Alligator mississippiensis: one gene and its partner. The protein of the gene in region 2 purifies or fractionates together with the protein of the main gene of each other region. This does not show direct contact. Links are inferred from orthologs where the notes say so. Each region holds a gene or a part of one and is shown on either strand. Other genes may lie near its edges.

Region 1 (5,678 bases), on a different chromosome or scaffold from region 2:
CCATGGAGAAAATGCACCACGTAGACGAGACCTCACATATTTTATCTATCAATAAATTGAAGCTAACAAAGGGGGTTCGATCTGGGAATCTCCATTCTTGTGCTGGAGATGAAAATAGTTTGCCAACCACGCATGATGCAGACATTTTACTTCATGTTCAAGATATAGTTAGCTTCCTTGTTCTTTCCACACCCAAAATGACTGCCTCCACCCCCTGGGTCCCCTGGCCCCATGCTACAAAATTGGCCATGTGCCTTTCCAGTGGCCCCACCACAAAGAGCAGTTATACCACCTTCCATCCTTGAAGGGGCAGAGTGCAAAGCCGTGCCTGTGCTCTGTCCTTTGCTGCCACCTGTCGGTTTAGATCCAGAAATTTAAATAAAAGAAAAAAAAGGCTTCTGCGCAGGATTGAGACTGGGGGTTGTGTCTTTCTCTGCAGGTTCCAGGAGAAGGAAGATTCTTGATTGGAGCAACATGGGGACCAAAGAGCAGAGGAGGCTGGGTGTAATGCCCCGTTCATACCAAAAGTGCTTGCTTTTGCCAGAGTGAGATTCTTTCCTTGGCCCAAGACATTACCCAGCCCTGACAGTATTGATTCTGCCTGTAGTTTGATGGCATAGAATGCATTTGAGGTCCAGAGGAGCGGAGCTGGGGGATCAACCTCAGAGCGACCCCTGATTCCCAGTCTTTGGGAATTCCAAATCCAAATTCCTGTTTCAAAGGACTGTTGAGGTGATTTCCAGAGTTATATATCCCTTACACAGGCACAGTCCCCTTTCTGGCTAGTACCACAGAAGCTGTATTCTATAAGGAAATCCTGTTCCTATTGAGTGCACTGCATTTTTTTAATTTGGAGGAGCGGGGGTGAGCGTATCACGGAAGTTCCCTTCTTTCAGGCTTGAGGTGCCTGGAGAAGGGACTGCCTGAACTTTTTGGGTGGACTGCCTGTCTTCCTGGACAAACTTGGCATAACTCCTTATGGATCATTTATAATAAAATAAATTATATTACTTTGCTGTCTATAAATCCCTTGCTGTGAGGCAAAAGCTGCAATTGTGCAGCTTTTCTGCCTTGGTTTGGAGTGGATACATGCTTTGCATTATCATAACCTTTTTATTTGCAACCTTATTAATTGACTAGACTCTCCCTTTTTTTCCCCATGCCCCACCCCCCTTTCAGATCCTGTCTAGGATTTACCCATCTCAGTTTGTCATCCAGAAAACCCCCATCACACTTGGGTGAAATGCTGGTGGGTGTCTTGTGATGTGATCTGTATCACAATCTGCTGCTCACGGTGCGGTGTTTATCATCCACAGAAAAGAAACAAATTGTTCTAGTCCTCTCTCCTGAGCTCTGCTCAGTATTTCTTCTCCTGGGGGCGTGGGGGCAGGAGCACCTCTGCACCCCCCATCCAATGTTCAGCTAGCTATTTTCCCCGGCTTGTCTTGCCTGCTCAGATGTACCCCAGAGCTCTGAGCACTGAGGGTGCCCTCCACGTCCCTCACGGGCACATGCAATCCCCCACCTTGTAAACGGTGACCCTCATTCCTGTTCTCAGTACTGCTTTGGCATGGGAAGGGAGAGAGAGGCAGAGACTCCAGGCTCTGGCAGCCCGAGCTGGCCAAGAGCACTCGCCCTATTTGAATCAAGCCAGGCAAAATGAAGGCAACAAAAAAACTACACTTTTAGCATCATGTTTTACCCATATTTGCAATTGAAAGCTTGTCCTCACCATTGGTTTGCTGGGGCTACCAGGCACTGGTGCCAAAGGGTAGGACAGGCAGCTAGAGACACTCTCCTACTGAGCAGGCAGAAAGTTGTGACATTAGAAGTGATGGCATTAATTTAGAAGCAGTTTGTCACCTAGAAAATCCCCATCATAATTGGATGAAATGCTGCTGCCTCTCTTGTGATGTAATACGTATTGCAGTGCACTGCTCACTGTACAGTGTACCATGATGTGCGTCCACAGGAAAGAAACTAGTTGCTCTAGTCCCAAGCCAACTCCCTCCTGAGCTCTGCTTGGTGTTTCTTCCCGGGGGAGCACCTCTGCACCCACTCTCCTTCCCGTGTTCAGCTGGCTATTTCCCCAGCTTGCCTGGCCTGCTCAGATGCACCCCAGAGTTGAGCACCAAGGGTGCCCTCCGCATCCCTCATGGGCACACGCAATCCCCAATCTTGTAGATGGGGACCCTGCTTCCTGCTCTCGCTGCCTCTCCGGGACAGGAACGTAGCAGGAAGCAGAGACTCCGGGCTCGGGCAGGCTGAGCCGGCTGAGAACATTCGCTGTTTGAACCAAGCCAGGCAAAATGAAGCCAGCAAAGAAACCACACTTTTAGCATCGTGTTTTACCCCTATTTGCAGTTCAAGCCTTGTCCACACACCATTGCCTTGCTGGGGCTACCAGGCACTGGGGCCAGAGGGTAGGACAGGCAGCTAGAGACACTCCTACTGGGCAGGAGGAAGTTGTACTATTGGAAATGATGGTGTTTCACTTGTACTAAGTCATCACAAGTGTGGGAGGGGGCGTGAGAACAGAGAGGGGTGCTGAGGAGGCCTCAGCACTCCCAAGCCCTCACTTTCCCATCAGGCCTAGCGCTGGGGCCCGGACCAGGCCCACTGCACTGCAGGCAGCCCATTGCAGTCACGTGGCCCAGGGTAGGTGCGGCCCACGCATGCGCAGCGCGCCCCGTACGGCGGAAGTGACCACCGCGGGGGACTCCATTCGGTGCCGGCCCGTGGCCGGAAGCAGGAAGTAGCGTTGCCGGAAGCGAGGGGGGGTGCGGGAAGGTTGCCGCACCGGGCGCGGGCGAGCAGCGTCTGGAGGAGGCGGGCGGGGCGAGACGAGACGCGACGCGACGCCCCTGTGCCCCGCGGGGCGGAGCGGGCCGGCGGCCGGGGCTCGGGCTGCGCGAGGGCAGGTGCGCTGCGGAGACTTTTCCCCCCGGCAACTGGGGCCGCGGCGCCATGGCGGAGGCGACCGTTGCCGGGGGCGGCTGCAGGAGCGGCACCGTCACCGAGACTGAGACCGAGACCGAAGTCACCGAGCCGGTGAGCGGGGGCGCGGGGCGGGCGTTGCCATGGCAGCGGGGGGGGGAGCCGCGAGCGCAGCAGGGGGCTGCTGCCATGACAACGGCCCCGGGAGGGGGGCGGGTGTCCGCGCCGCCCCTCACCCCCCGCCCCGCCGCCCGCAGGAGAACCGCAGCCTCACCATCAAGCTGCGCAAGCGGAAGCCGGACAAGAAGGTGGAGTGGTCCAGCGACACGGTGGACAACGAGCATCTCGGGCGCCGCTCCTCCAAATGTGAGTGCCGGCCTCGTCCGCCGCGCCGCGCTCACGGCTTGACGTTCAACCCGTGACTTGTCCTGCCCGCGGCGCGGCACGTCCCCCGTGCTCGGGGCCGGGGAGCCGTCACGCCCCCGCACGGGGCTCTAGGCTCCCCGGCCCGTGCGAGAGAGAGGCCTCTGGTCGCCCACTGACAGCTCCTCCACCCGCCTCGCTGCTTCCCCGCCCGCGTCCTGGCCCCGACACCACGAGGGAAACGCTCTGTGCCCCCTTCTCCATCCTCGGGGCACCCAGTTTGCCTGACCCGGTGCTGGGCTGGATCTCGGACTGCGCGGAGGAGAAGGGCCCCTGTTACTTGAGCCAGCCAGGCCCCGTACCCCCCAGACAGGACAGGTCTCCTGCCCCATTGATCTTAAATCCCTCTTCCCTGTCAGGAGCGTGGTGGCCTCGTCACCATCTCCTGCTGTCGGGGGGCGACCACTTTTCTCCCCTGCTGCGAGGGTCTAAGCGGCTGACCTGGGGTCAGTTGTGTAGGGGCCTGGCTGCTGCAGGGGTCACTCAGGGCATTGCGCAACGGGGTGTATGTAGCAGAAGGCCTGCAGAAGACGCCCAAGTCCTATCTCGGCCTCCCCTGTTTCTCAGAGACCAGGAGCTCCCCACCGGGTGTGGGAGGGGGCTGTAGAGCTGCTGCATGCAGGGGGCAGCTGTGAATCTTGGAATTGCCTCCATTTCTCCGCCTTGCGTTGTCATATCCCTCCTGTCGTCCCCCTCCCCCCGTTCCTCCATCTCCCTTCCTGCCCAGGCTGCTGCATCTACGAGAAGCCACGAGCCTTTGGCGAGAGCTCGACAGAGAGTGAGGACGAGGACGATGAGGGCTGTGGCAACGCCCACTGCATCCGAGGCCACAAGAAGGGCCAGGGTGGGCGAGCAGGCGGGGGAGGAGGCAGCGGCAGCCCCCGCAAGGCTGAGCCACCGGACCACAGCCATGATGGAGCCATGGAGCACTGAGCCACCCCCTCCTCCTGCCCCTCAGGGGACCTCACCCCCTCCCCTCCCCTCCCTCCCCCGCAGATGGACTGATGGGGGCCAGAGCAGGGGACGCACGTGTTTCCGTCTGTCTGTGTGCCTCGTGGCCACGTGAGCTGCTGTTCTTGTCCGTCTGTTCGTCTTCGTGTGTGGCCAGTGAGTCCGTCTCGTGTCCTGGCATGGAATGTACTGAGCAACGGGGCTGGACGTGTCCCACCCCCACTTGGCTGATTTCTCTCCGCTTCTCTATTAAACCTTTGTATCGGTGACTGGGCCCTGCTGTTTTCTGGTGCAGAGGGGGAGCCGGCCACTGCCAACTCTGCTCAGGGTCCTGAACACCAGCTCACAGCCACTCCCCTGGCAGAGCTGTGCCAGCCTTCGGTGTTCCCCACCACCCTAAAGCATGACCTTTGGTCCTTGCTATTTCCCGTTTTATGGCTGCCACTGGATATTGATTGTAACATATGTGAATGTATCCTGTTAAGGAAACCCTTTCTGTTTTGTTTTCCTACATGGTGCTCCTCTTTGTACAGAGGAGTCCTGTGGGCTTTATCTCAGAAACCTGGGGAAAAAGGGAAGTGATCTCTCTCTCTTCTCTCTCATATATTAGAAATTCAGCTCCCCTCTCTCCCCTGGAAGTCTCTATGGATGACTAGAGAACTGTTGCATTTGCAGCCTCCTGGCTACCAAGGAAATGAAACTCAGGACAGTGATTTGTATTTGATTTGGTACCCTTTATTGGCATCTAAATCTAAAAAAAAAAAAAATACAGAGGGTAAGAGTCTTTCAGTGACAGTCAGTTTCTACCCGTCTTCCAAGGTCTTCTGGTCCACATGTTAACCTCCTCCATGGAGACCTCCAGCAAAGTGGGGAAGGCAAGACCTGACCAAATGATATTTATTTCTAAGATAAAAAGAGAAATTATCTCCCCAAGACCCAGTGCTGCACCTTGGTTTTTTTTTTTCTTTCTGTATTACAAAGAATGAACTGGATTTCCTTTGCCCTGACTCTGTTGATCACCTTGAAAAGAGTCCTTTGCTGCACTTGGCCTTGCCCCTGTGGCTGTTGGCGTTCCATCACCCAGAGATGCTGGCATCTCGTCACCTGAGCTGATGACATGCTTCCCCTTAGTGATGAGGAGAGAATGGGAGGCCTGGATTCAGGGTCCCTGGCTTGAGGAAGGAGGTGAGGAGTTATAGGTAAGACCCTGCAGTGGATGGGGAGGCAGGGGGTGTAGCTGTGCAGAGGCTGTATGTGTGTGTGTGTGTGTGCACGAGAGAGAGAGAAGGGGAGAGACTGCACACATGCTTGGCCTGCAGAAGCTACAAAGCGTGCATTCCTTCAGGTTATTATTTTGCCCTTTGGCA
Region 2 (5,678 bases):
CACGCACACAGTTGCCACGAGGACATTTTGTACACTGGATCAGGTATATCACATTTTGGGAAAGGCACATGGTGGATTCTGATGGTTTTGTCATGGAGAGCGTTGTTTGTAATTGCAGTGGAGAGGTGTTGACAGGTTATACATTTCTTGCAAAGACAAGGCTGTGTCCCACTTGATGTCTGTTGGGCCACGGGGAGTTTGCTTTTGATGAGTTGGGCACAGTTAGAGGGTAGTTTGGAAGCCAGGAGTAGAGGAGCTGGGAATATTTTTCTCAAAGTCTGATCTTTGCCAAGAATAGGCTGTCATTTCTTGAGGATGCTTCCACTTGGCTCCAGCATTGGGTGATAGGTGACCACCAGGGCTGTGTGGTCACACGGGGAGCTTCTTTTTGTATTGTAGGAGGTTGGACACTAAGAATGTCTTGCAGTTGAAAGCTTGTCTAACTCTATCCTGACTATACAGTTGGTCCCATAAAAGATAACACCCTAAGACATCCTTGCCTCCCATATAATTTCTGGACCGTCTTGGCTACAACATCACCCTTGACTTCCAAAGCCAAGAGAGTATTTTGGTGATGCCTTGACTATGATCACACTTCAACTATACAAACTTCTGTTTCAATATTTTTCTTGTTTTTTTAACATACTGGTATTTTTGGAGCTCAAAATCAGTAATGTGATTTTCTTAGGTTCCTCTCACCTACTTGCTTTGCCAACAGTTTTACTCCTGTAGCGTAATGTATGTTAGAAAAACTAGTAAAGGGGCTACAGATTAGCTCAATTCATTTTGGCAGGACTGCTCACTCCAGAAGGCTAGTGGTACAGCACCATGCTTCCAAACATACTCCTGTTCATGGTTCAAGTCAACCAGTTGCCTGTAATTCAGCACTCAACATAGTTACACCAGGAATGTCTTGTCTCACTCACCATGCTCACTTGGGTTCAACACACCATTAACACGATGGATAAGAACTCAATAGCTAATACTAACCATGTACTTATTCTTAAGTACTTTTAATTAATTAGGGCCAGAGTGCACAGCACCTTCTAGAGTCAAGCCAGTTTTGAGGATAGTTGAGTGCCACAGACTTTTTAAACATTGCTGTTATGTTAATGCAATAAGAGATATTAAAGGTCCAGCCTGCCATTTCACTCAGCCTGCAGGGCTCCTGGAATAGCTGGGAATCCAGGGGGTGCGGCGAGCAGGGGCAGGGCCCACTACCAAATTCTGGTGTACAGACTACAGAGTCCCATGGGATACACGTGTCAGTAATGGTAAAAGTAGGAGGGTGCTGTGAGGGTGGGGCAGGGGGAGTTAACCTCTATACTGCTACCACATGTCCAACCACTGCTGCCAAGTTTGGATCTGGCGTGTGAGCTGTCCCATAGTCCAGATCCAGCCCAGGGGGCTGTTCAAGTTTGACACCCCTGCTTTAATAGAATTAAATGTGGTTATTCAGTAATCTACCCTTTCATCCAAGGATCTCAACATGGATTGAAAATGTCAAGCAAATAAGATGAATACCACAGGAGAACAGAATCTCACAATCTTTTGATGAAAGGCACACTTTCTAATTGGCACACACAAAAATGGCAATGTCTCCCCAAAATCCAATAAAAATTCAGAAGCAGATAGCTGTAATTTAATCTCATATTGCTAACCATTATTCTTATAAATTGTCCTCTAAAACATTTAGTACATTCATGGTGCATCACAATAAAATGAAGAGAAAATTACAAAGAACAAACTAACTAAGGATGTGAATTTACTCCTCTTACTCACCTTGAGCAGTAGTCACTGTGAGTCAGGCAATTTAAACAATAAAATACCAATCCGCAGGAGTAAGAAGAGACAGAATCAGGCCCTAAATGAACAGAATACATTCATCCTAGCACAGTACCTTTGTTTTTTTAAATCACTCTACTAATTCACAATGAGTCTCCTATTAATTAATGTGAATTAGCAAGTTTTGACTTTCTAATTTAGGTTCATTTTAAGTGTTTTACACTACACTGATGATTTAAAAAGCTTGTTAGAACAGGCACGCAGGTGTGAGCTGCAAATCATACCAAAATTGCTGCTCTCATTCAGCTCGGCATGTGCTTTTAGTCCTTGGCCCGCTCAGCTATTGTGTTTGTTTTGGGTAGTTTCTAACGCTAGCTGCTCCTCACCGAGTTGGATTTCTTCAAGGAGCAAGATACAATGTTCAAGTCACAGCGTGGCATAAAGGAAGAAGGCTCCTCTAAATGCTTTGTGGATCCCTGAAAATCCCACTCCATTTTCTCATTTTTGTTGCATACCCTCTGCAACCTTGAGTCACTGGTTTGTAACCATGATGTTGTTCTTTTGTACTTTGTACAAGGCCCAGACAGGAGCCCTTTTGGAATATGTCAACACTAGTCCTTAATTGGTCTCTCAAGAATAATGAAAGGCATTCCAGTCTCCAAAGGGCTCAGTGTGCTGTTTTTACTGCTGTCGCAGCCCTCGCCGATACAGAGTCTGAAAGACAAAGAAACGGATGCAGCTCCCTTAGCTGTGGAGAAACAATCCCACTGTGCTGTAGTGGAGGAGTTTCATACTGCATTTTGAGTAAGCCACCCCATCAATTATCCATGACTGTACACGGTCTGGGAACATCCCCTTGCCTTCCCTTTTACCTACCCTAAATAATCATTTGATATTAATAGGTATGTGGAATGGAAAGGCATAAAACTAACTGTGCTTTGCCCGATTGTTTTATGCTTAATGCTACAAAAAATACTAAAAAAAAAAGGGATCGTGGGACCCGCTCTAAAACGATCCATTTCTTTTCCGTCTATCATTCAGCACCAGAGACCTGCACTTATCTAGAAAGAAACCCGTCGCCTGGACCGGAGGGACATTTAAACGAGGAAGGTAAAAAAAGAAAAGGGGAAGTCTGACGTGGAGAGCGGAGGGCTAGCGCGGAGCGGGGAGTCCGGGGTGCGGCTCACCCCGCCACGCTTGCTTCGGCTGCGATAGCGGCGAGCTCCTGTGCGTTAGCTGGGCGACAGCTCGGCGGAGGCGAGGTACTCGTGGGGGACTCGGCTGCAGGACGAGGCGCTCGCATTCAAGCCGAGCCGGCGGCCCCAGCCCTCGCCGGAGTCCCCGCCAGCTGCGCGGGGCCGCGCCACCGCCGCTCCCATGTGACCGGCGGGGCGGGGGTGGGGGTGAGGGTGAGGGTGAGGGCCGGTCCTCGCGCTGCTGCCGCCGCCGCTGCTGCTGCAACCCTGCGGGGAGCGGGCACCGCAACGAGGTCACGGGCTTTTTTGTTTGTTTAAAATGACGGAGCGGTGCTCGTGAACGTGTGCCTCCCTCGGCGGGGGAGCCGCGGGCCCAGCCCCGAGCCCGAGCGCGCGGAGCGAGGGGCGGAGCACGTGGGGCCGGGTCCGCGCGCTGCCAGGTACGGGGCCCCGGGCCCGGGCCCGGGCACGGCCTCCTCCTTCCCCTTCCCCTTCCCCCGGGCCGGGCCGGGCGGGGCGGGGCGGCGGCTGGGAGGCGCGGGCCGGCCTGGGCTTCTCGCCTGCGCTGCCCCAAAGGGAGGGGTGTGTGCGACGTGTGTGCCTGCGTGTGACGTGCATGTGTCTATGTCTGTGTGTCATTGTGTGTCTACGCCTGTGTGTGACGTCTGTGTGTGTCTACGTCTGTCTGTGTGTGACGTGTGTGTGTGTCTGCGTGCAATTGTGTGTCTGCGTCTGTGTGACGTCTGTGCGTGCATCCCTGTGTCTGTGTGTGTGTGAGGTGTCGTTTGTGTGACGTGTGTTGTTTGTGTGACGTGTGTGTGTCTGTGTCTGTTTGCATCCCTGTGTCTGTCTGTGTGACATCTGTGAGGTGTGTCTGTGTGACGTCTGTGTCTCCGTGCAGTGTCTGTGTGTGACACGTGTGACGTGTGGGTGACTGAACAGCAGCGAAAGGCTCCAGAGGGATCGTTCGGAAAGGAGGGTTGCAGCCAGATGTGCAGAGGCCGGGATGTGGCCACGTCACACGGCTGCTGGTGTGCAAGGAGTCCAGCATGTTTTCGGCCTGGCGCCTGAGCCATCAAAAGCGGGCGGGGATCCGCTTGGGATTTGAAGTGCTGGTGAGGGTAAGCGGCTGCACCTTCGAGGAGGCATGGGGAGGGCAGGAGGCCTGGTATGTGTTGCTCTAGAGTTGGTCAGAGCAAGTTTTTGCAGTGGTTTTTTGACCAAGTGTTCGTCTTTGGTTGAGAGGGGCTTAGTAAATCTTAAAAAAACACAAAGGGTTTTGTTTTTGGTTTTTTTACTTCCTTTTTCACCACGCTCAGCCTGTGGAAACAGGCGGTGGGGAGGTAGAGGGAATGCCCGGGCAGACCAAAAAGGCTTTATGGGAAATTGAAAACATTTGCAGGCTTGGTTCTAGTTTTGGATGAATTGAACAACTTATTTATAAGCCTACAGATCTCAGCAAGGCTAAAGCTGCTTTAGGTCAGGCAAGCACTTGCTTCCTTGCCTCTTGTTCCTTCTCATTTGTCTAGATTGTAGCCATTTGGATGAGACTTCTCCTGTCTGTTCCTGTAGTGTATTTATTGCTATTACTATTAATATTTAGATTTAAACTTTATCCAGAAAGGCTCAGAGTGGCAAAACCACATCTAGGAACTAGCACCTAAACACTCAGCCATCTTGGTCCATGATCAAGACTCCTAGACCCTATGATAATACTTTATATAGGAAATAATAGTTGCTGCTCCAAAGAGTTTATTCTCTGAAAAGTTTAATTCTGGCAGTAGTATTTGGCAGTGTTTATGCTTTTCTTTGTACAGGGAGAAAAATGGTATAACTGCCCCCTGGGCTCTAGGTAATAGTACTAGCTTTTGAAGCAGCGGAGTAAACCTTAATATTGTTTCCACTTGCATCCTAACTAATGAAAGTGCTGTATAAGAATATATATGACAAGTGCTTGTGCTAAAGACATTTCTTGGTCCTGTAAGTGTGTGTCCTCAGATCATATTGCAAGTTTGACGTCTTGAGAAATAAGTGTGTATAACGTATGCCAGGAAAGGTTAGAGCAAGGGAAAACATGGGGTACGTGTTTACCTACAGCCATGGAATTGTGTGTTTGTGCTGATTATGCAACAAAAATGAAATCCTGTGTAAGTGCACGCTTGTCACTTTTATAATCGTAAGTGATTGAAGCTCTAATTTAGAGACGCTCCCTAATTGAGAAAAATTGGGAATTGTGACATGGACCCTTAGTTATGTAGCAGCTGGTTAGTTAGAGATACTGAAGGGGCTCCAGAGACTTGCCTACTAGACACTAAAACTTTTTGTTTAGTTCTTCTCATTCATGCCTGACTGGCCTCATTGAGCCAGACGTCACTTACACCTACATGTAGTGATCATCTCTCTTCTCCGAGACAGACTTCGAAGGGAAGCATTGGCATTACAGTTCTTCTGCTACTGTCGGATAAGTACTTGCTGCCAGGTCTGAAGCAAAGAATGTAAACTGAATTCATGACTTGAGGACAAAATATAACACAGAGGTGCAAAGTGTGTAGGCTCCTGTACCAGCAAGATTGCATGCCACTAAATCTTTCTAATACTAGATTTGGACAGCTGACATGAGCGGTATGCTGCATAATTTGTATTTAATTTTACCTGTAATATAACAGTAAAATTAACCATAAAGTACTATGGTATTTG

The links. Proteins that work in one complex are often made in the same cells at the same time.
Region 1: the proteins of UBXN2A (region 2) and PPP1R11 purify together in Homo sapiens (affinity purification with mass spectrometry; 3 studies listed by BioGRID and IntAct, counting the BioPlex papers as one, with this or other methods). This does not show direct contact. The link is inferred for Alligator mississippiensis from reciprocal best matches to the Homo sapiens genes UBXN2A and PPP1R11.

The regions. Positions count from the first base shown.
Region 1 is NC_081834.1:54,003,298-54,008,975, reverse strand, and holds PPP1R11 (E3 ubiquitin-protein ligase PPP1R11), read left to right. Parts: upstream 1-2,795; 5' UTR 2,796-2,967; coding exon 2,968-3,051; intron 3,052-3,194; coding exon 3,195-3,303; intron 3,304-4,087; coding exon 4,088-4,293; 3' UTR 4,294-4,580; downstream 4,581-5,678. Other genes in the region: POLR1H (DNA-directed RNA polymerase I subunit RPA12), read left to right, coding at 440-464. UniProt on the Homo sapiens protein: Atypical E3 ubiquitin-protein ligase which ubiquitinates TLR2 at 'Lys-754' leading to its degradation by the proteasome.
Region 2 is NC_081824.1:16,046,549-16,052,226, reverse strand, and holds the start of UBXN2A (UBX domain-containing protein 2A), read left to right. Parts: upstream 1-2,497; 5' UTR 2,498-2,687; intron 2,688-2,826; 5' UTR 2,827-2,895; intron 2,896-2,964; exon of another isoform or gene 2,965-3,060; intron 3,061-3,206; exon of another isoform or gene 3,207-3,274; intron 3,275-3,340; exon of another isoform or gene 3,341-3,421; intron 3,422-3,501; exon of another isoform or gene 3,502-4,102; intron 4,103-5,678. UniProt on the Homo sapiens protein: Acts to repress the ubiquitination and subsequent endoplasmic reticulum-associated degradation of CHRNA3 by the STUB1-VCP-UBXN2A complex in cortical neurons.